Notamacropus eugenii: one gene and its partner. Each later gene encodes a partner of the first gene's protein in a complex. Links are inferred from orthologs where the notes say so. Each region holds a gene or a part of one and is shown on either strand. Other genes may lie near its edges.

Region 1 (10,742 bases):
ATGACCCATCCAGCAACTCTGAGCCTAATCATACAGGACAAAAGATAATAATAATTCAATAATAAAGAAAAGTCAGAAACATTTTTTAGAAAGAAAACCAGAATGGCCAAACAAGAGAGAGAACACATTATGAAATGCATAATTTTGATTACATTAAATTGAAAAGTTTCTGCACAAAGCCAATGCAACCAAGATTAGGAGGGAAACAAAAAACTGGGAAAGAATTTTTATAACCAGTGTCTCTGATACAGGCCTCATTTCTAAAATATATAGAAAATTGAATCAAATTTATAAGAATCCAAGTCATTCCTCAATTGATAAATGGTCAAAGGATATGAACAGGTAGTTTTCAGATGAAGAAATTAAAGCTATCTACAATCATAAGAAAAAATGCTCTAAATTACTATTGGTTAGAGAAATGTAAATCAAAACAACTCTGAGGTACCACATCCTACCCATCAGACTAGCTAACATGACAAAACATAAATAAATGCAAACCAAAAGTAAAAAGCAGAAATAGTTACTCTATCCTTTTCAGATCATAATACAACAGGAATAGAAATTGGCTCAGGGACCACAAAAGACACACACTCAAGTGGAGACAGCACTGAAATCTTAAATAACGAGTAGGTCAAAGAATAAATCACAGAAAAAGTAACTATGTACAAGAAAATCCTAACAATGAAACAACATACCAAAATTTCTGAGATGCAGCTAAAGTAGTCCTCAGGAGGAAAATCATATCCAATGTCAACCTTGGAGTTTGGTCTAAGAAAGACAAACCAGCCGTCTGGAACTGCTCTCTGCATGCATGCTCTGCCCAATTGAGAGAAACAAACAACCTACTCTTTCTCTGTCTTTCTTAGACCAAACTCTGAGGCTGACATCTTACAACCATACACGAACAAAACAGAAAAAGAGATTAAGAAACTGAATATGTATTCAACAAGAATGTAAAAATAAATAAGTAAACCTAAAATAAGCAAAAAAAAGAAGAGATATTAAAAATTAGATGGGATATAAACTGGAAACAAATAGAAATGATAAATAAAACTAAAAGCTGGTTCTTTAAAAAGACTAATAAAATTGACAAATCTGTAGCAATTCTGATTAAAGAGAGAAGAAAGTCAAATCAATAAAACAGCAAATAACCAAGGTGAAATGACAACAAAGTTATAAGAAAAATAATCAAAACATTACGTACAGTTATATGCTAATAAAACTTAGAACACAAAAGAAATAGAGGGATACCTTCAAAAACAAAAATGACCAAACTATCAGAAGGCTATGTCAAGACCTTAAATAACCTAATCTGAGGAAAAGAAAGAGATCTAGGTATAAAGGAATTACCAAAAGGAAAAAAAACCAAAACTCCTAATCCTATTGTATTCATCAGAGAATTCTATCAAACTTTTAAAAAACAATTAGCAAACACACTCTAGAAATTACTCTCAAAAACTGAGAAAGTACCCTATCAGAATCTTTTTATGAAACAAATATAATCCTAATACCTAAACCAGGGAAAGATTGAAAGAAAACCACAGACCAACAAATCATTAATGTACCTTGACAAAAAACTTAAACATAATCCTATTAAACAGACTCTAAGAATTCATACAAGAAATAATTTCTTTTGATCAAGTAGAATTTGTACCAGGGAAACAAGGAGGGCTCACCATTAGGAAACGTCAACATAATCATATTATTATTATCATATTATTATCGTAATATTATCATATCATTAATTTAATCATATTAAAAACAAAACATCTAAAACCACATGATCATCAACAGATGCAGAAAAAGCCTTTTATAAAGTAAAATACTCTTTCATGCTAAAAATTCTAACAAGCACAGCATAGAGGGAGCTTTTTTAAAAATATCATAAAAAGCATCTACCTAAATCCAAAAGCAAGTATCACATGCAACAGAAATACACTAGAATCTTTTCCAATAAATTCGGGAGTGAAGCAAAGATGCCTACTCTTCTCACCATTATGTGATATAGTTTTGGAAATGCTAACAATAACAGTAAAATGAGAAAGGAATTAAAAGAATTTTCAGCCAGATCTGGTTCTTCAGGACTCCATTTGGGGTTTTCTTGGTAAAGATACTGGAATGGTTTGCTATTTCTGTCTTCAGCTAAGTTAACAGATGAGGAACTGAGGCAAACAGGGTTAAGCGACTTGCCCAGGGTGGCACAGATGCTACTAAGTGTCTGAGTCTGAATTTGAACTCAGATCTTCAAGACTCCAGGCCCTGTGCTCTTATCCACCTCACCATCTAGCTACCACATAAAAGGAATAAAGAGGTAAAGAGATAAAACTATTTCTTTTTGCTAAAGATATGATGGTTTACTTGGATAACCCCAGAGATTCATCAGAGATACTCACTGAGACAATTAACAGCTTCAACAAAGTTTCAGGACACAAAATATATCATCAAAAATCAACAGCATTTCTATAAAATAACAACAAATGATAAGAAGCAACAATAAAAACTGGAATCCATTCCAAATAACTATAAAATGCATAAAATACCTGGGAATTAGTCTCCCAAAGCACACAAAATAATTAGTTTTTCAATTGCAACTGAGAGAAAAATGAAAGACAAAATGCCTTATTAAAGGTATTTTGGAAAATGCAGGGTGTCCCTAAAGTCTTAATGCAGTATTAAGCTTTAATTGGCATAGCAATATACACTATCCTAGTAACATAAGTCTGAATGAAATCAAGAGAGAATAATTAAGGAAGTGCTACAAAGTACCAAGCAATCTACCTGAAAGTCATTACACACAAAAATTTCCAGGAAACCATATTGTGCCATAAATATCAAGGAATTTCATCTTAAATATTCATTTTACCTGTCTCTTTAAAAAGTTTTATTGAAAGCTGTTTTTAACTCTTGTCATTTCTAAATGTATCAACCTCATTTTCCCCTGTAAAAAATATTTAAGCAAAAATTACCAACCAAACTCCTACAAAAGTAGCTTCTGTGTCCTTATGCACACTCACCTCCCTAATGAGGCAGAAAGTTAGTTGAGACCAGTGCTAGTTACTGCAAATATTATTTCCCTTTACTTTATAGTCGTCCACTCTCCCAGTACAATTCACTTTGCTCTGCATCCATTCATACAAGTTTTACCATGTTTCTCCGGATTCCCTTTCTCATGGTTCCTATACCTTGCTTTGTTTGGCCACTCACCACTTTGTTAACTGTTTTGCCTCTGTAAAAGACTGCTACAAATAATTTGGAACATATAGTGCCTGTCTAAAACAGGTATGAATGGTTCATTAGGGATTTTTTCTCCCAAAATTTCACGTAATATTCAAGAATAATTAGCCTAATTCACAACAGCAGCACCAATATTCCCACAGCCCCACTAATCCTGACTTTTGTGGATGTGGGTGAGTCACAGGGGAGGGGAGGGATTTTAGAGTGGTTTTAATTTGCATTTCTAACTAGTTCTATGTATTTCAACACTTGAAAGTCTTTGTATTTTAAAAAATACTAAAGCGCCCGAGTCGTAGATTAGCTCAAAGCTAAATTAAAAACGCTAAGGTAAGACGCCAGATGGGTTTGAAATGACAAGACATATATGGATCAAGTCTTTTTTTAAATTTTAAGCACGCACACAAAAAGAAAACGAAACAAAAAGCGAGTAAGCCTGGCGGAAAGTAACCAGAGGACATAAAACAGGGATGGGGGAGAAAATTTAGGGAAAATAAATTCATTTCTCAATTGAGAAAACAGCATAAAGAATTTTTTTTAAGTAAAAACACAAAAGTGCACAAAGATGCCCTGTGGACAAGCTGGTGGGGAGCTGGCGAGAGGGGGAAATGCTTAAAGATGAGAAGGAAAAAGCACCGCCAGTAACTGGCAAGACAGAAAGAAGCGACGGGGGAGAGGGCAGACCCACGCACCGCACAGTTTTACACACACACACACCCCCCCAGGAGAAAATGTAAACAATGCTGTCCGTGGACCAGGAAGCGCGGACCTCTTAGGGATGCAAAACACGAACACCGCGGGAAAGATCGCTTCCTCCGGGCCCACTTCTAGGGTGCAGCGCGCACGCACACGCACCAACACGCACACGCACACGCGCACACACACACACACAAACACACACACAAACACACACACACACAGGAAATATCGCTTCCTCTGAGCCCACTTCTAGGGTGCAGCGCGCACGCACACGCACAAACACGCACACGCGCGCACACACACACACAAGCACACACACACACAAACACACACACACACACAGAGGAAATATCGCTTCCTCTGAGCCCACTTCTAGGGTGCAGCGCGCACGCACACACACAAACACACACACGAACACAAACACACGCGCGCACACACACACACACACACACACAGGAAATATCGCTTCCTCTGAGCCCACTTCTAGGGCGCAGCGCGCACGCACACACACACAAACACACACACGAACACAAACACACGCGCGCGCACACACACACACACACACACACACACACGAAATATCGCTTCCTCTGAGCCCACTTCTAGGGTGCAGCGCGCACGCACACACACAAACACACACACGAACACAAACACACGCGCGCGCACACACACACACACACACACACACACACACAGGAAATATCGCTTCCTCTGAGCCCACTTCTAGGGTGCAGCGCGCACGCACACGCACAAACACAAACACACAAGCACACAAACACACACACAAACGCGCGCGCGCACGCACACAGGACCCTGACCGCTCCACGTCCTGGGAGGCTCGGGCAGTGGGGGAGGGGGGCTGTCCGGTCCCAGGGGTCCGGCGGTAGGCTGGAGAAGCCCTTCGGGCCGCAGTCAGCCCCTAGGCCCACGGCCCCACCACCGTACCTGTCACCGCGCCTCTCCTCACTCCTCCCCGAACCAGGCCGGGCCGCACCGGGCCTCAAGCGGCAGCGCGACAGTGAGGCTGGAGAAGAGTCCGCGGAGGGCCTAGCGGCCACGCCGCCCAGCTGCATGTCCCCGTCGCCGCGCTGGGGGTCCGGTTCGGGGACTCCAGGCAGCCTGGGACGGCTGCTGGCACTTCCACGCCCCCTCCCTCTTCACAACAGTTACCTCTAAGACAGGGGTGCAGAGGCTGGCGGGAAGGAACCAAGCCACCAGAAGGGGGCGGGCTTTGCCGCCGGGATTGGTGTGTTGATCGGCTTGATTGGCTGGAACTCGAGGGTGTCCATACGCATGCGCAGACTCCGCCCCTGCCTTTTTTTTTTTTAATGTGAACCCAGGGCCAAACATCCCAAACCAGGAAATTACTCGGCGCACGCGAGGGAGGCGCGAGCCCTGCCCTTCGCTCTCTAGGGCCTCTGGGGTCAGTGGTTGTCAGTGGTCCAGCGGAAAGCTGCCCCTGGCGACCTGGGCTGCAGGGCCCCTGACCAAGCCCGCGGTCAGTGAGCATTCCTTCCGGTCAGGTCGTTTCCCTTGGGTCCGATTCTCCCGGACCCCATTTGGGGTGTTCTTGGCAGAGATACTGGAGTGGTTTCTCAATCCCTTCTCCGGCGCATTTTACAGATGGGGAAACTGAGGCCAAGAGGATGAAGCGCCTCGCCCAGAGTCACGCATCTGAGGCTGGGTTTGAACTAAGTCTCCGAGCACTCCCTAGCCTCCCGCTGTGTGCCCGACGCTGTGCAGGCTGCCATACCCGCCCTCCCCGGCCGTACGCTCTAATGGGGGAGAGTCAGGCAAACAGACAAGGAATCCGGCATAACTAGGAGAGAATGGAGAGACCAGGAATTCAGAGAGCCCAGTCTTTGAAGAGTGGTGCCCAGTGTGGCGCCGAGGGCTGAGGGCGCCTTGCCCCCCAGGGTCCCCTCATCCCAAGGGTCTTGCCCACTTAGTTCAGGAGGAAGAGGAGGGGGACTTTAGCCCATTTTAGTTTTGATATCTTAAACATCCATCCCTGCAGAATACACAGGGGCAGTCAGATGGCAAGGGACGGGGGGCCGGCCTGGAATGGGGGAGATGTGGCTTCGGACACTTACAGGCTGTGTGACCCTGTCCAAGTCACTTATCCTGTTTGCCTCAATTTCTTCACCTGTAAAATGATCTGGAGAAGGAAGTGGCAAACCACTCCAGTCCCTTTGCCAAGAAAACCCCAAATGGGGCCACCTAGAGTGGGAAATGACTGCCCAAGGACTTTTAAGAGCCATTGGACCAAGTGAAAGGAAGCCAGAGGAGAGGTCTGTTCAAGATGACTGACCTTTGGTCCCTACAGAAATGCTTTGAGTTAACTGAAATTCAGAGAGGGAGTGTTTGGCATCTCTGGGGGCATCTTTGGGGAGACATCTCTTTGGCCCCGTCATTTTGCCTCAACTCTCTCTTTAACCTTAGCTTTGGAGGCTTGAAAGCAAGGTGATGTGTTAAATACTTAGCATGAGCCATAATTTTGATATGGTTTCATCTTACAAGAATAGTAATATACATACTTCTAGTGAAACCAGGCTGACCCAGAAGTCTCATACCCAAATGAGCTGGTTTTCTCCCTTTTATATTTTGTATCTATTACATTTTTAATTAATTTATTTATTTTTAGTTTTCAACATTCACTTCCATAAGATTTTGTTTTCTAAATTTTCTTACCTTCCCCAAGATGGCACGCAATCTGATATAGGTTCTACATATACATTCATAGTAAACCTATTTTTACATTAGTCATATTGTAAAGGAGAATTAGAACCAATGGGAGGAACCACAAGAAAAAAGAAACAAAAAATAGTGTACTTCGATCTGCATTCAATTATGAAAAAAAGAATATATTCCCTTTTATATTTTAAAATAAATTGTAGTAATATATTTTTTTAACCTGGCCCAATTTATCCCCATATGTTCCCTCTGCCCTGTAAGATATGGGCATCTTTTTTTTTTTTTTAGTTCTTTATTTTTTTTTTTTATTTTGTAATGTTTAACAATCACTGCCATACAATTGTGATTTTATCCCCCCCACCTACCCCCTACTCCCCCCCTCCCTCCCCACGACTGCATACAATTCTGTATGAATTCTACATATACTTTCCTATTGAGTATATTTTCACTATAGTCATGCTATGTAGTCAGACTAAGATAAATGAAAGAAATCGTATAACAAATCAGAACATGATACACAAACACATACACATACACAAACATGATCTGCTACAATATGTGAGTGACTTCCATATTTCTCTCTCTGAGTGTGGCAGGCATTTTGCCTTGAGATCCTCCATTGGGATGGTAAGAAGTTCTTGTGTTGCTGTGCATAAAGTTTTCCTGGTTCTGCTCCTTTCACTCAGCATCAGGTCATATAAGTCCTTCCAGGCCTCTCTGAAGTCTTCTTGTTCATCATTTCTTATGGCACAATAGTACTCCATTACATTCATATACCATAATTTATTCAGCCATTCCCCAATTGATGGACATCCCCTTGACTTCCAGTTTTTGGCAACTACATAGAGTGCTGCTATAAATATTTTTGTACATGTGGGACCCTTTCCCATTTTTATGATCTCTTGGGGATATAGTCCTAGTAGCGATATTGCTGGGTTAAAGGGTATGCACATTTTTGTAGCCCTTTGGGCATAGTTCCAAATTGCTCTCCAGAATGGTTGGATGCGCTCGCAGCTCCACCAACAATGAATTAGTGTTCCAACTTTCCCACATCCTCTCCAGCATTTATCATTTTCTTGTTCTGTCATGTTTGCCAATCTTATAGGTGTGATGTGGTACCTCAGAGTTGTTTTGATTTGCATCTCTCTAACCAATAGTGATTTAGAGCATTTTTTCATATGATTATAGATAGCCTTAACCTCTTCCTCTGAAAATTGCCTGTTCATATCCTTTGACCATTTATCAATTGGGGAATGACTTGTATGATTATACATTTGGATCAGTTCTCTATATATTCTAGAAATGAGGCCTTTATCCCAGAGCTTAGCTGTAAAAATTCTTTCCCAATTTACTACATCCCTCCGGATTTTGGTTGCATTGGGTTTGGTTGTGCAAAAACTTCTCAGTTTAATGTAATCAAAGTTATCCATTTTGCATTTCATAATGCATTCTAGCTCTCCTTTAGTAAAGAATTCTTCCCTTCTCCATAGATCTGATAAATACAGATGATATGATGATTTACCTAGAGAATCCCAGAGATTCAAGTAAAAAATTACTAGAATTAATAAACAACTTTGGCAAAGTTGCAGGGTACAAAATAAACCCACACAAATCTTCTGCATTCCTATATATTAGCAACAAAGTCCAACAGCAAGAGATAGAAAGAGAAATCCCATTTAAAGTTAGGGTAGACAGTATAAAATACTTAGGAGTCTACCTGCCAAAACAAACCCAGGGACTATATGAACACAATTACAAGACACTTTTTGCACAAATAAAGTCAGATTTAAGTAAGTGGAAAAACATTAGTTGCTCATGGGTAGGCCGTGCTAATATAATAAAAATGACAGTTCTACCCAAATTATTATACTTATTTAGTGCCATACCAATTAAACTATCAGACAATTACTTTCTAGAGCTGGACAAAATAATATCAAAATTCATTTGGAAAAACAAAAGGTCCAGAATATCAAAGGGACTAATGAAAAGAAATGCTTGGGAAGGTGGCCTAGCGCTACCAGACCTCAAACTGTACTATAAAGCAGCAATTATCAAAACCACTTGGTATTGGCTAGGAAACAGAGAGGTAGACAAGTGGAATAGACTTGGCACTCAAGATGCAGTAGGCAAGGAATATAGCAACCTTCTGTTTGATAAACCCAAGGACCCCAGCTTCTGGGATAAGAACTCATTGTTTGACAAAAATTGCTGGGAAAACTGGATAACAGTGTGGTGGAAATTAGGCATAGACCCATACCTGACACCGTACACAAGAATAAAGTCCAAATGGATACATGATTTAGGTATAAAGATTGATACCATGAATAAACTGGAGAAGCAAGATATGGGCATCTTTATGTAAAATATCTACCCAAAATAATTGTTGGGGAACATTTGAACTTCTGGTGGACCTGGAGTTCTTGTTCCCATTGAGACAATGATGACTTCTGATAAAAAAAAAATACTGATATATTGAGAAGCAAAATTATCTTGGCTAGAAATTCTTGAATGGAGATGAAACAGAGGACCATCTAGACCCTTTCTCTAGAGACTGTGCCTGCTCTGAGCATTCTTTTAAAAGTATCCTGTTTTCCAGGAAGATGATAAATGTTGGAGAAAATGTGGGAGAGTTGGAATGCTAATTCGTTGTTGGTGGAGCTGTGAGCTGATCCAACTATTCTAGAGAGCAATTTGGAACTATGCCCAAAGGGCTACAAAAATGTGCATACCCTTTGACCCAGCTATATTGCTAGTTCTAGGACTCTATCCCAAAGGGATCCTAAAAATGGGAAAGGGTCCCACATTTACAAAAATATTTATAGCAGCTCTCTTTGTGGTGGCCAAGAAGATGACCATCAACTGGGGAATGGCTGAATAAATTGTGGTATATGGATGTAATGGAATACTATTGGGCTGTAAGAAATGATGAATAGGAAGACTTCAGAGAGACCTGGATAGACTTATATCATCTGATGCTGAGTGAAAGGAGCAGAACCAGGAGAACTTTGTGCACAGCAACAACCACCATGTTCAAGGAATTTTTCTGGTAGACTTAGTACTTCATTGCAATGCAGGTACTTAAAAAATTCCCAATGGTCTCTTAAGGCAAAATGCCTTCCATATCCAGAGAAAGAAACATGAAGCAGACCATTTTCTTTTGTATTTTGTTTTGTTTAGTTTTATGATTTCTCCCATTCATTTTAATTCTATGCAACATGACTAAGGTGAAAATGTATTTAATAGGAATGTATGTATAGAACCTATATAAAATTGTATGCTGTCTCAGGGAGGGAATGGGCAGGTGGGGGGAAGGAGGAGGAGGGAGGAGAAAAAATCTAAGCTATATGGAAGTGATAGTAGAACACTGAAAACAAATAAAATAAAAATAAAAAACTCATTTAAAAAAGACTTCAAAAAAAGTGTCCTGTTTTCGTTTTGAATTGGGAGGGGAAAATCCTTAAAATAAAGAACCATAAAGGTACAGTGGGAAAAAGTACAAAATTTGGAATCAGAGTGTTTAAGGTTTGGCGCTATTACTTGCTAGTTGTGTTGGCAAGTTTTTCATCTCTCTGGGCCTGTTTCTCCTAAAAATGAAGGGACTGATTTTTAAAAATTTTCTCTTCAGTTCTAAAATATTAAAACATATCTGTGATCTCATTGATTTGGATGTTACCTCTAATAATGAAGAGCTTGTCAGCATCCTATTGTAAATTCACTACTGAGGGTCCCCACCCATGGTGCTGCAGGCCTTCTTGACCTGGTGAAGATGCCAGTAGTATACTGTGTTATTATCATCTCCAACATTCATCATGTGGTCAGCCCATCTTTTTGGTTTTGTAGCATATGTTTTTCTGGTGACATCTTTTCTTCCTCTTTTTCTTCAAAGTTCCTTACTTGTTATGTGTTACCACCTATTCACATCCATCACCCACCTCTCCCCTTCTGTTTGATATTCATTTTTAATTCCTCCAAGAGTGCTGTGTTTCATGTGCAAAAACTAACAGCACAACATAACACTGATAATTTAAAAATAGGTCTTTGTTTCTGTACAACAATAATAACTGACATATAGTACTTAAAAACTTGAAACAAACCTATGAGGTAGGTAGAATTTATAT
Region 2 (10,660 bases), about 230 Mb from region 1:
GCCGCCAGAAATGCGCAAGCGCACTCCTCCGGGGGCAGGCGCCCGTTCCGGAAGCTTGGGGAACCGAGTGGCGCAGGCGCATTCACACCACCCCAGTGGCCTCTGGAGGGACGGTAAAGGGCTTAAAAACTACAAATCCCATCCTCTTTCCTGGGACTCCTTTTTCCTGTTGACCATCCTTCCGGGTCTCCTCAAGCCCTGCTTCTGATAGTGTTAAATTTTCCCTCCTATCTTGTGTTTTTGCGCCATTGTTGAGCGGAAGCGAATAGCCTGGAAGCAGCCTGGAAACCGAAGGGCGTTGATCGCACTTGGCCGACGGAGGCCCTGCAGGCGGAGGCCGGGAACAGGGGCCCTGCAGACGGAGGCCGGGAACGGGGGCCCTGCAGGCGGAGGCCGCGAACGGGGGCGGGGCGCAAGTAGCGGCTTGCGGGGGAAGCGGCCGAGCTTCTCAGCTTGGACTGGCCGTGCGGTTGACGGCTGCTTCCCGGGCGCATTAATAAATAATGAGTACTATAATCATAGCACCTTCAAGCAAAATGCAGTCTCTCCAGAGGCTTCGGTCGTTATCTCCCGAATCTTGCCCAGTCCTGTCCGAGAGAGACTAACACCTACCGTGAGAGGAGCAGAAGGGCCATGGGTTTGGGTAAACTTTTCTCCCCAGTCCCTGAGAGGAGTAACGGACTACAAATATATATGATCTCCATTATTTACAGATTTCATATTTGCAATTTCACCTACTTGCTAAAATATATTTGTAACCCAGACAGGCAAAACTTTGAGTCACCCTATGCCCACGTTTCCAGCTGAGATCCAACAACCTTCTGGAGACCCTCTGCCTTCTTGTTTCAATTTCATATTACAAACAATCATCCTTCTTGCGATCTGTTAAACCTCGCTTTTTGTTTCCGAATTTTTGTGTCGTTTGCTGGTGATCCCACTGTTTAAAATGGCTCCCAGGGATGGTGCTAAAGAGTTAATGGGACAGGAAGGTTTGCATCACAGAGAAAAGACAAGTATTAGAGAAGCTTCCTTTAGGTTATTCTGCGTGAATCAATAATAGATCAAGGAAATGGAAATTCAGCTAATCTGTGAGGCAGCTCTGGAAAGTGCTAAAGCAAATGATGTGATCAGAGGCTCTCGGAATCCAACCATGTATTGTCTCTAGGAACCATGGTTCAGTATTTGCTAATTCTTTGTGCACGGTAACTCTAGGCTATAATTACTATGAATGATAAGAACCAATAGTATATCTATCTGCCTGCCTAAATGTTGCTGTACAAGGTACAGTAACTTCAAAAGAAAAGCCACTTCCTTGGTCACTAATACTTAAGAGAAAAGGTATCCCCAAACTTACCCAAGTCAGCTTGGCTCCTTCCCCCACAACAGAAAGACTGGTTATGCAAAGAAATATTGAATAGCAAGTAAGCAAAACAACAACAACAAAAATGGTGGTAATACAAATATAGAATGAGCAAGAAAATACCCAAAAGCACATGATTTCTTCTGATGGATGCAAGATAATATTTCAGCTTGAACCAAGAGAGAGAAATCCTGATCTCACCTAGAAGGATCTCACCCCAGTTTCCACCTTGCCTTCTCAGAGACTTTGGATATGTTGAGGATCTTTCTCTCCAAATTGGAGGGGTTCCAGAGAATTTCTAAATCAATGAGTGTCTCTGAAAGAATATATTTCTTCCCCAAAGCTCTTCCATCAAAAATCAACTACTCCTGCCAGCATTTGGTATCCTGTCACCATTCCAGTATTAGAATATTCTTTTGCATATGCAGAGGTTGCAAAATGTCCGAGGTTTAGGAATGCATGTTACAAATATATATGCCTCGAAGGCAGGAATCCAACAATTTCATTTTTGTCCTTTGATCCTTAATAGTTAGCCCAGTTCAGATTATGTAGTAGATGCTTAATAAATAAATGATTTATTGATTCCTTGGTTCCAATGGATGATTCACCTCCCTACAATGTTTTCAACTCTCTGTACTTTGCCACCATGGCTCAGTTGCCTTCTCACTCTACAAATTCTCTCAGTGTTTAAGGCCTTCCAATCCTAGAACATTCCTTCTCCACCTCAGCCTCCCTATACTACTGGTGATTTCCATCCTGGGAGCCTTCATATTAGGCATAGGCCTGATGATAGTTGGATGGGGGAGAGGGCTGGGGATGAGACCCCCCCCACAGACACCAGAGTACAAGGGCAGGTCTCCTGGGATGAATTCGCTGACTCAAGCATTCTTGAGGTCAAGGTAAAGATTTATTACGCTTTTCAAAGGACAAGAATTCTTAGAGAACCTGTAACCTTAGAGGGATACAGGTAATGTTTATCTAGGATATTCTATAGTAAAACATGTACCAAATATGCTAACTAGGTGATTCTGGGCAGGATTAGGGAGTGGTTAAGGAGTGGTTAGTTCTTAAAGGAATATGTACTTTTTGTATCTACTGAGCAGGTATTTTACTCAGAGTTCATCAGGAAATAGCCCAAGGCGGGGAGGGGCTACATGGAGGTGTGGTTTTAGGCCTGAAATACCACTAAGTCAACTAAAGGTCAGGGCTGACTAAGGAATATCAGGCTGCTCTCATCACTGTCTTGTTAGACAAGATAAACGTAAGGGAGTATAAGTATGTTTAAGTCTAGGATACATATGATTGGTCAGTGAGTAGTAAATGTCATTATGACCCAGCGCATAGCCCATTCAGCCAATACACAGCTGGTTCAGACTAATAAGTTCTATAGGTATGGCTGGCTACTGTATCAAGAAGAGAGATAACAGTTTTACTAGGGCCGGCTGGAGAGAAACTTGGGATACGTTCCTATGTTCTTTGCCTAAAGGTTCTGGGCTATGACCATCTGGATCTGGGGGGACAGGGTGATCAAGGTGGTACTCTGTATAAGCTACCCCCTGTATCTCCCTCAGGATATTTTGCTGCTTCAGGTAGATCGAATGCCTCCCCTGTATATGGCCCTGTCTGGCAGTTGGTGGGGAGGGCTGTTCCTCTCTCCACAGGAGCTGCTTCCCTGTAGGAGAGATGGCTGTAGGAGGTCCTGTACTTTGAGCTGGAGAGAAACTGCCTGGGATAGTGTTTTGAGCCTAGAGAGAAATGTGATTTTTAGAGAGAAATGTGATTTTTAGAACTGGGATCCAAGAACATGCACCTAAGCACTCCATTAGGCCCACACTGATCATGCTTCACTCCGTTTCCAGATGTGCTGCTTACTCTTCAGACTCCCTTTTCTGGGGGAGCTACCTCCCTTCCATCTTATCCCCATTTTTCAGCTATTTTTATGAGTCGTCTTCCCCCATTAGAATCTAAGTACCTTGAGGACAAAGACACTTTCATTTTTATTGTATTTGTATCCTTAGTGCCAGACACACAGTAAAGTACAGGACCTCCTACAGCATTATCTTTTTCCCCTCCCTCCCCCTCCTTCTCCACTCCCTCCCTGAAACAGCAGCCAGAAGCACATACACAAATAGTTTGGTGTAGAAATACATAAAACTCAACAAAGAAAAAAGGTAGGAATTTTAGATGGTTAAAAGATGGTTAAAAGGTTTTGGGAGAAACATTTTTCCAGCCCAAAACAACTTAGACAGAAATGGGGAACTCAAGTGTGGCCTCAAGGCTGCAGGTTCCCTACCCTGATAGGAAGTAAGAAGGAGAGGTCTGTGACACTGAGGTAGAAAGGCTGGCCATAGTGACATCAGCTGTTGACCTTGGAGGAAATGGAGACAACAGATCTACAGCAGCAATTTGGGGAGTTGTCACCACTCAAAGACAGAAAGGGCATTGGGCAACTGCTCAGAAAGAAATTACAGGGGACCCTGATCTGGCACTGGATGCAGAACCATGTTGCATTTAGACAGTTCCTGGTCGAAGTTCCAGGGCAAAGAAAAGCACTGGTGCTTGTGGCTGCAGGAGAGCAGAGACCCTTCCTGGGTAAAGACTAGAGCACAGATGAGGAGAGCAGTGACCACACTTCTTCCTAGATCACACTACCTTGGAACTTAGCCCACAGAACTAACTCTGAAAACAGCAGTGGGGAAAAAGCCTGAAGCTTGGGACAGCGCCCCCAATCCCATGCTAGAAACAGAGCCCAACTTTAAAATAAAGCTAAGTCAAGACATAAACTAGAAAAATGAGCAAACAAAATCTGACCCTAAAAAACTACTATGGTGACACAGAAGATAGAAATACAAATTTAGAAGACAACAACATGAAAACAACTACAAAGAAAGCTCAAAGAAAAAATATATAAACTGGACACAAGACCAATAAGAATTCCTGGAAAGGCTAAAAAAAGAGATAAAAATGGTAAAGGAAAAATTGGGGAAAGAAATGAGTGATGCAAAAAAATTATGAAAAGAGAATTAAAAGCTTGGCAAAAGAGACACAAAAAGGTGCTAAAGAAAATAGCTACAGCTCATTGGATTCTACATGTGGGATGAATGGAATTTTCACAAAGAGTCTAATGTTAAAGAGAAAAAGGCTTTAGTTAACCAATCTATCTATGCATGCATGTCTTCTACTCTCTAGAAAATAATAATTCTATTATGTTCATAGAAGAAGACCGACATTTACAGTTGCAAAGATCCTAAACAGGAAAAACATATTTACAGGAATATTGGACTAGAAAAACCATATATTATGAACAGAACATACCATCATCCTTCCCATGTTCTCAAACTCAGTCATCTTCTTCTCTTTTCTCCTTCACCCCCCTATATCTAATCAATTGTTGTTTTTATCCATTCTGCATTCACAACATCTGTTGTACCTGCATTCAATCAGGCACCAACCCTAATTCAGGCTCTCAATTATATGTCAATTTACTATAATAATAGTTGCCGTATTGGTTTTCCTGAATCTACACAATTGCCAAATTGGTACTTCTGAATCTTAGTTTTGACTCTATCCCTCTCCTGCTCAAGAAGCCTTTGTAGTCTCCTTTTGCCTTTAAGGGAAAATTTGGCATTTTAAGCCCTTCAAGATCTGACATCAACCTATTTTTTTCAGACTGAATTTACATTATTCTCACCGGGGCACTCTACATTCTGGCCACACTAGCCTGCCTTCTGTTTGTTGCCAGTACAGGAAATTCTATTTCCCATCTCAGCCTTGGCACTGGCTGTACCCATGCCTACCATGAATTTCCTCCTCATCTCAGCTAGTGGAATCCCTACCATCCTAATAAGGCTAAACTTAACCACCATCTACTATGTCCCCTGAGGCAGCTGGATGGCCAGGTAGACAAGAGTGCCAGGTCTGGAGTCAGGAAAACTCATCTTCCTGAGTTCATAACTAGGCCTCGGACACTTCCTAGGTATGACACTGGGCAAATCAGTTAACCCTGGTAATTCCACAAAGAAGACACTCCCCAGTTCCCAGCATTTTCTCTTCCCTCCTCTGCTCTAGCCAACTCACCTGACCTCTTTGTCTTCAGTCCCAACTAAAATTCCATCTTCCCTGGAAGCCTTCCGCAGCCCCTCCTAATTTTAGGGCCTTCCCTGTATGACCTATTTCCCATTTATCCTACATATCGCTTGCTTTGTATGTGTTTAAGTGTTGTCTCCCCTACTAGACTGACGCTCCTCGAGAGCCCTAAGGACTCTTGCTTCTTCTTATATCCGTGCTTGGCACAATGCCTAGCACACAGGAGGAGCTTAATAAATGACTGACTGATGTGTACGTATAGTCTCTCCGGAGAGAACAGGAATTGCTTCATTCCCTTTATTATTTTCAATTCATCTTGTTTGTTAATCTTTTGTGCTGGGGGTTAGGGAAGTGTTTTTGCCTTTTCAGCCTCAGAACTCAGCAGGGTGCCCCGAAAAGCACTGAAAAAATGCCTTGAAACGAGCCCCTGGTGCTTAGCGAGAGCTGGGGCGCTGGGTCAGCAGCAGCCCCACCCACCACCCCACCCGGCCTCGAAGTCCTCGTCCGCTCCTTCCAACTTTCACTCCCCGGGGCGGTTTCATTTCCCCTTTCGAAGGATAACTACCCAGGAAATGCCCTCCTCCGGGGCGCTCTAGGTGTGGAGTGGGAGGGGTCAGAGGCGCCGCCGCCAGCCGCCGCCCCGCCCGCCAAAACACTGCCCGCTTCGAGGCTCCCCCCTCCCCGTCTCCTCGCGTCCCCGGGCTGAGCGCGTGCCCAGGCTCCGCCTCCCCATGCCCTCCCGCCCCTCGACCTGGAGGAGTAATCAGGGAGGCCCGGGGCCCGAGAAGCCCCGAGGAGAGCGGGCTGGCGGGCGTGGAGGGGCCCTGCCCTCGCCCCGCAGCGCTCTCCCTCTCCCCCCCAGCCTCGGGGCCCAGTCCGAGCCCAGGCCCTCCGGGAGGACCCATGACTCGAGCGGGGCCTCCTTGTCCTCCTCAGAGCGCGCCCCGGGGCCCCCCTCGCCGGCCGCGGCCCTGGCTCCCGCTGCAGCCGAAATTGGGACAGGGATATGAGCGGGAAGGGGCGGAGGCGACGGCGAGGCCCCGGCTAGGCCGGGATGGCCGCAGCCGCAGCCGGAGGCGCTGCGGAGCGGGGCCCCTCGCTTCCCCTCGCGCCTCAGAAGCCGATCCCATGACGGAACCCATTGTGATTTCGGATGACAGCGATGACGAGCCCTGCAGTCCCGGCCGAAGCCTCGGCGCTGGTCGAGCCTGCGGAGCCCGGCGGACTCGGCCGCGACGCGGAGGCGGGAGCCGAGGGGCCCAAGCCGCGTGCAGTGGCCAAGCTGTGGTGGTGAGTCCGTGCCCTCTCCCTCCACCTCCCCCTTCCTCCCTTTATCCTTCTGTTGTCCTCCTTTTAATTAATACGTCTCTTGTTTGGACTGTGAGTTCCTTGAGAGCCAGGAGGTAGCCCCTCTCCCCCTCCTCCCCTCCCTTCTTCCTTCCCTTCTCCCCCTGCCTCCTTTCTCCATGGTAACCTGGAGACTTTCTGAAGAAATGAAGGCCCTCCCCCTCCCACTGTTAGCTGTTAGCTGAGGTGTTGAGCGTCTCCGCCCAGCTCTGCGAAGCCGGGACGCACCGTGTAGTTCAGTCGTTGTCTGGATGGATGATGGATTGCCCTTTCTTCAACTCACTTGACAGAGGAAAAAACTGAGGCCAGTAGGGTTAAGTGACGTGCCCAGGGTCACCCAGCTGGTGGGCGATTTGTGCTCGGCCCCTGACCGCTGCCACACCTGGCTGCCTGCTTAACACCATGGGAGCCTCATAAGTCAGATCCTGGGTCGCAGGAGAGGCCCACCCAACTGACCTTTTATAAACCAGAAGGCTGATTGCTGGCCCCTTTGGAAGGTCCAGAGAAGTGGCTAGTTCTGTTTCCAAGGCCACATCTCAGCAAAAGATCAAAATAATGTAGCAGCGTTTTAATTTTTGATAGGTTTGGACAGGATACCATAGTGGAAACTTTTCTAGGCCTCACTTATCTATAAAATGAAAGGGTCTGGAACAGGTGATCAGATGAAGACATAAAGTGAAAAATAGTGTGCCTCAGTCTGCCTTCAGATTCCTTCAGATGTTCTTTAGAGGTAAATAGCATTTTTCGCCTGGAGTCCTTTGGAAGTGGCTTAGATCGTGGTACTGCTGAGAACAGCTGCTGATGGTATGGCATTGCTGTTACTGGGTACAACGTTCTCCTGCTTCTGCTGGCTTGGCTTTGCATCAGTCTGTGTAAATCTTTCTAGGTGTTTCTGAAGTCAGCGTGCTCAGCATTTCTTATGGCACAATAGTATTCCATTACAATCATGTATCACAGCTTGTTCAGCCGTTTCCCAGCGGATGGGCATCCGGTCAATTTCCAATTCTTTGCAGCCACAAAAAGAGCTGCTGTAAATATTTTTGTACAAATAGGTCCTTTCCCCCTTTTTAAAAATATTTTTGAGATATGCCTACTCGTGGTATTGCTGAAACAAAGGCTACACATAGTTCGTAATTTGTTCATAACTGCCAGTTGCTCTCCAGAATGGTTAGATCAGTTCACAGCTGCACCAACAGTGCATTAGTGTCCTTTCCAATCTTTTTCATTTTTTTTTCTGTCGTATTAGCCAGTCTCGTAAGTGTAAGGTGGTACCTTTTAATTTGCACTTATCTAATCAGTAGTCATTTAGAGCATTTATTCAGATGGCCATAGACAGCTTTGATTTCTTCTGAAAATTTTCTATTCATATCCTTTGACCATTTATCAGTTGGGGAATAACTTGGATTCTTATAAATTTGACTCAGTTCTCTGTATAATTGAGAAATGAGGCCTTTAATAGAGATATTTGTTGAGTTCATTCCCTTGATATTGACCTTTTGTTCTTCCAGATGAATTTTGTTATTATTTTTTCTAGTTCCATAAAATAATTTTTCTTAGTTTGATTGGTATGGCAAGCTTCTCTCATCCTTAAAACAAACCACTAGATCTAATTGTCCTCTCAGTTTAGCATCCTGTATTTAGCTCTTAAATGTTAAACCTAACCCTTTCTCAGTTCTCAATCTTCTTGATTTCTCTGTAGCATCTGGCACTATTGACCAGCTTCTCCTGGATATATTCTTTTATCTCTGTGTTTTTGTGACATTATGTTCTCTTGATTCTCCCCTTAAATGTCTGGTCATTTTTTGTTCTCAGCCTTCTTTGCTGGATTATCATCTTTATCTCACATGTACAAATATCGAAATCAAACTGATTTGCCCCAAGACTTTATCCTGGACCCTCTCTCTATACTTTCTTTTCTGGTGACCTTATTAGGTAGTTTTAATTATCATCTCTATACATATGGCTCTTAGATCAGCATATCTTGCCATAGTCCCGCTCCTGAGCTGCAGGATCACCAACTGCCTGTTGGACATTTCTGACTACATGACTTACAGGTATTTCAAATTTGGCATATCCAAAGTTAATAGATTCCAGGTTCGTAGAAGGAATAATTTCCCAGAAATTAAGAGTTGTGTCCAAAACTTTAATGAGCTACTGTTTAAGGCAATAATTCCTTTTACTGGATGGCTTCAGGGACAGTTGGATGACCCCTTACTAGGTATATCATAGAGGGCAACTCTGCCCAGTCCTGCTAATTATTAGATTAGATGACATCTTGAAGCTGACTCTCATCTGAACTGATGAAAAAAAAAAAGGAAATACACACATACAGACACACACACACACACACACACACACACACACACACTTAGATACAGAAATTCATTTCACTCAGTAGGGAAATAGGAGGGGAAGGGTAGAAGGGCAAATTAGAGTGAAGTCAGATTAAGGAAGGGATTAATCCTAAACAAAATAAACTCTAAAGATATAAAAAAAATAATTACAACTTTTTTTTGGAGATGGCAAAGAATAGGAATCTGAGGGAGTGCCCATGAGGTGGGAAATTGCCAAAATATAGTATATAAATGTGATAGAATGCTACTATTGTACTGGAAAAAATTATGAAGGGGATGTTTTCCAAAAAACCCAGGAAGACTTATATGAAATGATGCAGAGTGAAGAACTAATACAGTGAAGTGAAAAGAACCAGGAGAACAATTTATATTGTGATAGCAATGAGGTAAAGACAAACAACTTTGAAAAAATTAGGAACTCTGATGAGCACAATGACCAACCAGAGTTGTTAGAGAAGGTCAATGATGAACCATGCTACCCATCTCCTAATACAGAGGGGAAGAATTCAGAGTGGAGAATGAGTCATATTTTGTTTGGACATTTGTTTTGCTTGACTGTACATGTTTATAACAGAGATTTTGTTTTTCTTTCATTCTCAATTGCCTGGGAGATTGAAGGACGGAGTAGGGTTGGAGTAGGAAGGAAAGAAGGTGGACTTTTGCCAATGTAAAACAAACATATACATATATATATACACACACACGTATGTATACACGTACGCATGTGTGTGTGTTGTAAAAATTTATCTCATTCTCTGTGTTGTTCCTTATTATGCATAGTAAAGGCTACTTTAGAGTTTTCTTTTAAAAGCTACCACAACTTTTTCAGACTAAAATTCTTAAATGACTTTTACATTTTAAAAAATGCTTAAATGTAGCAATTAACCTTTTCTTCAGTACTCTTTTAGTATATCATGTTCCAAGTTCTGTGATTTTTATTTTTGAAATCTTATGTAATTCAAATTGATAGTTTTTTCTTGTTTTTTATGTTATGCATTTTCCTTTCCCTGCTTATAAAATCATCTACTAGTCATGGAAGTTTTGAAGCTTGACATTGATGTATCTAAGTGAGGTAAATCTGAAGTTTCTTGCAAGCTATGTTTATTTATAATCTTTGCCTTTTTTCAGTATTTCTGGGAAATTTTCCTAGATGATTTTTTTTTTCGAGGCAGTTGGGCTTGAGTGATTTAGCCAGCATCAAGTGGCTATGAACCCAGGTCCTCCTGACTCAAGGGTCAGTGTTCTATCCACTGTGCCACCTAGCTGCCCCCTAGATGATTTTCTGAAGTATAATAGTCATTCTTTTCTTCATTTTTCATGAAACCTAGAACTTAAATTTTCTTTCTTTTTTTTACTTGCCTAATCTGTTAGTTTTACCTACATAAATACTAAATGTTTTCCAGTTGTGTGATTTCCTGGGTTGCTTTTCTGATTTTTCTGTTTTACTATTTTGCTTTCCATTTAAGTCAATCTATTTTGAGTCTAAGTGCTTTGTTTGTGTTTTACAGTCTCT

The links.
Region 2: the proteins of SLF2 (region 1) and SIMC1 are in contact, whole or in part, in a cryo-EM structure (PDB 7T5P), measured with the Homo sapiens proteins. The link is inferred for Notamacropus eugenii from reciprocal best matches to the Homo sapiens genes SLF2 and SIMC1. Residues at the interface, in NP_060591.3 of Homo sapiens: His738, Val772, Leu775, Lys778, Asp783, Phe786, Gln790, Gly791, Phe792, Thr794, Ser795, Ala796, Tyr797, His798, Tyr799, Cys820, Ile821, Gln825, Ser828, Met831, Glu832, Ile835, Arg836, Asp838, Thr839, Ser841, Asp842, Ser843, Pro847, Lys919; in NP_001295125.1 of Homo sapiens: Tyr426, Arg428, Leu431, Lys435, Leu438, Pro440, Val442, His443, His444, Leu445, Phe447, Gln448, Arg470, Arg471, Phe490, Asp493, Pro497, Val521, Asp522, Lys525, Glu526, Tyr528, Met529, Met532, Lys533, Gln536, Leu537, Arg571, Asn658, Gln661.

Annotation. Positions count from the first base shown.
Region 1 is NC_092872.1:178,891,841-178,902,582, reverse strand, and holds the start of SLF2 (SMC5-SMC6 complex localization factor protein 2), read right to left. Parts: upstream 5,145-10,742; 5' UTR 5,004-5,144; coding exon 4,876-5,003; intron 1-4,875. UniProt on the Homo sapiens protein: Plays a role in the DNA damage response (DDR) pathway by regulating postreplication repair of UV-damaged DNA and genomic stability maintenance.
Region 2 is NC_092872.1:412,834,429-412,845,088, forward strand, and holds the start of SIMC1 (SUMO-interacting motif-containing protein 1), read left to right. Parts: upstream 1-6,104; 5' UTR 6,105-6,349; coding exon 6,350-6,736; intron 6,737-10,660.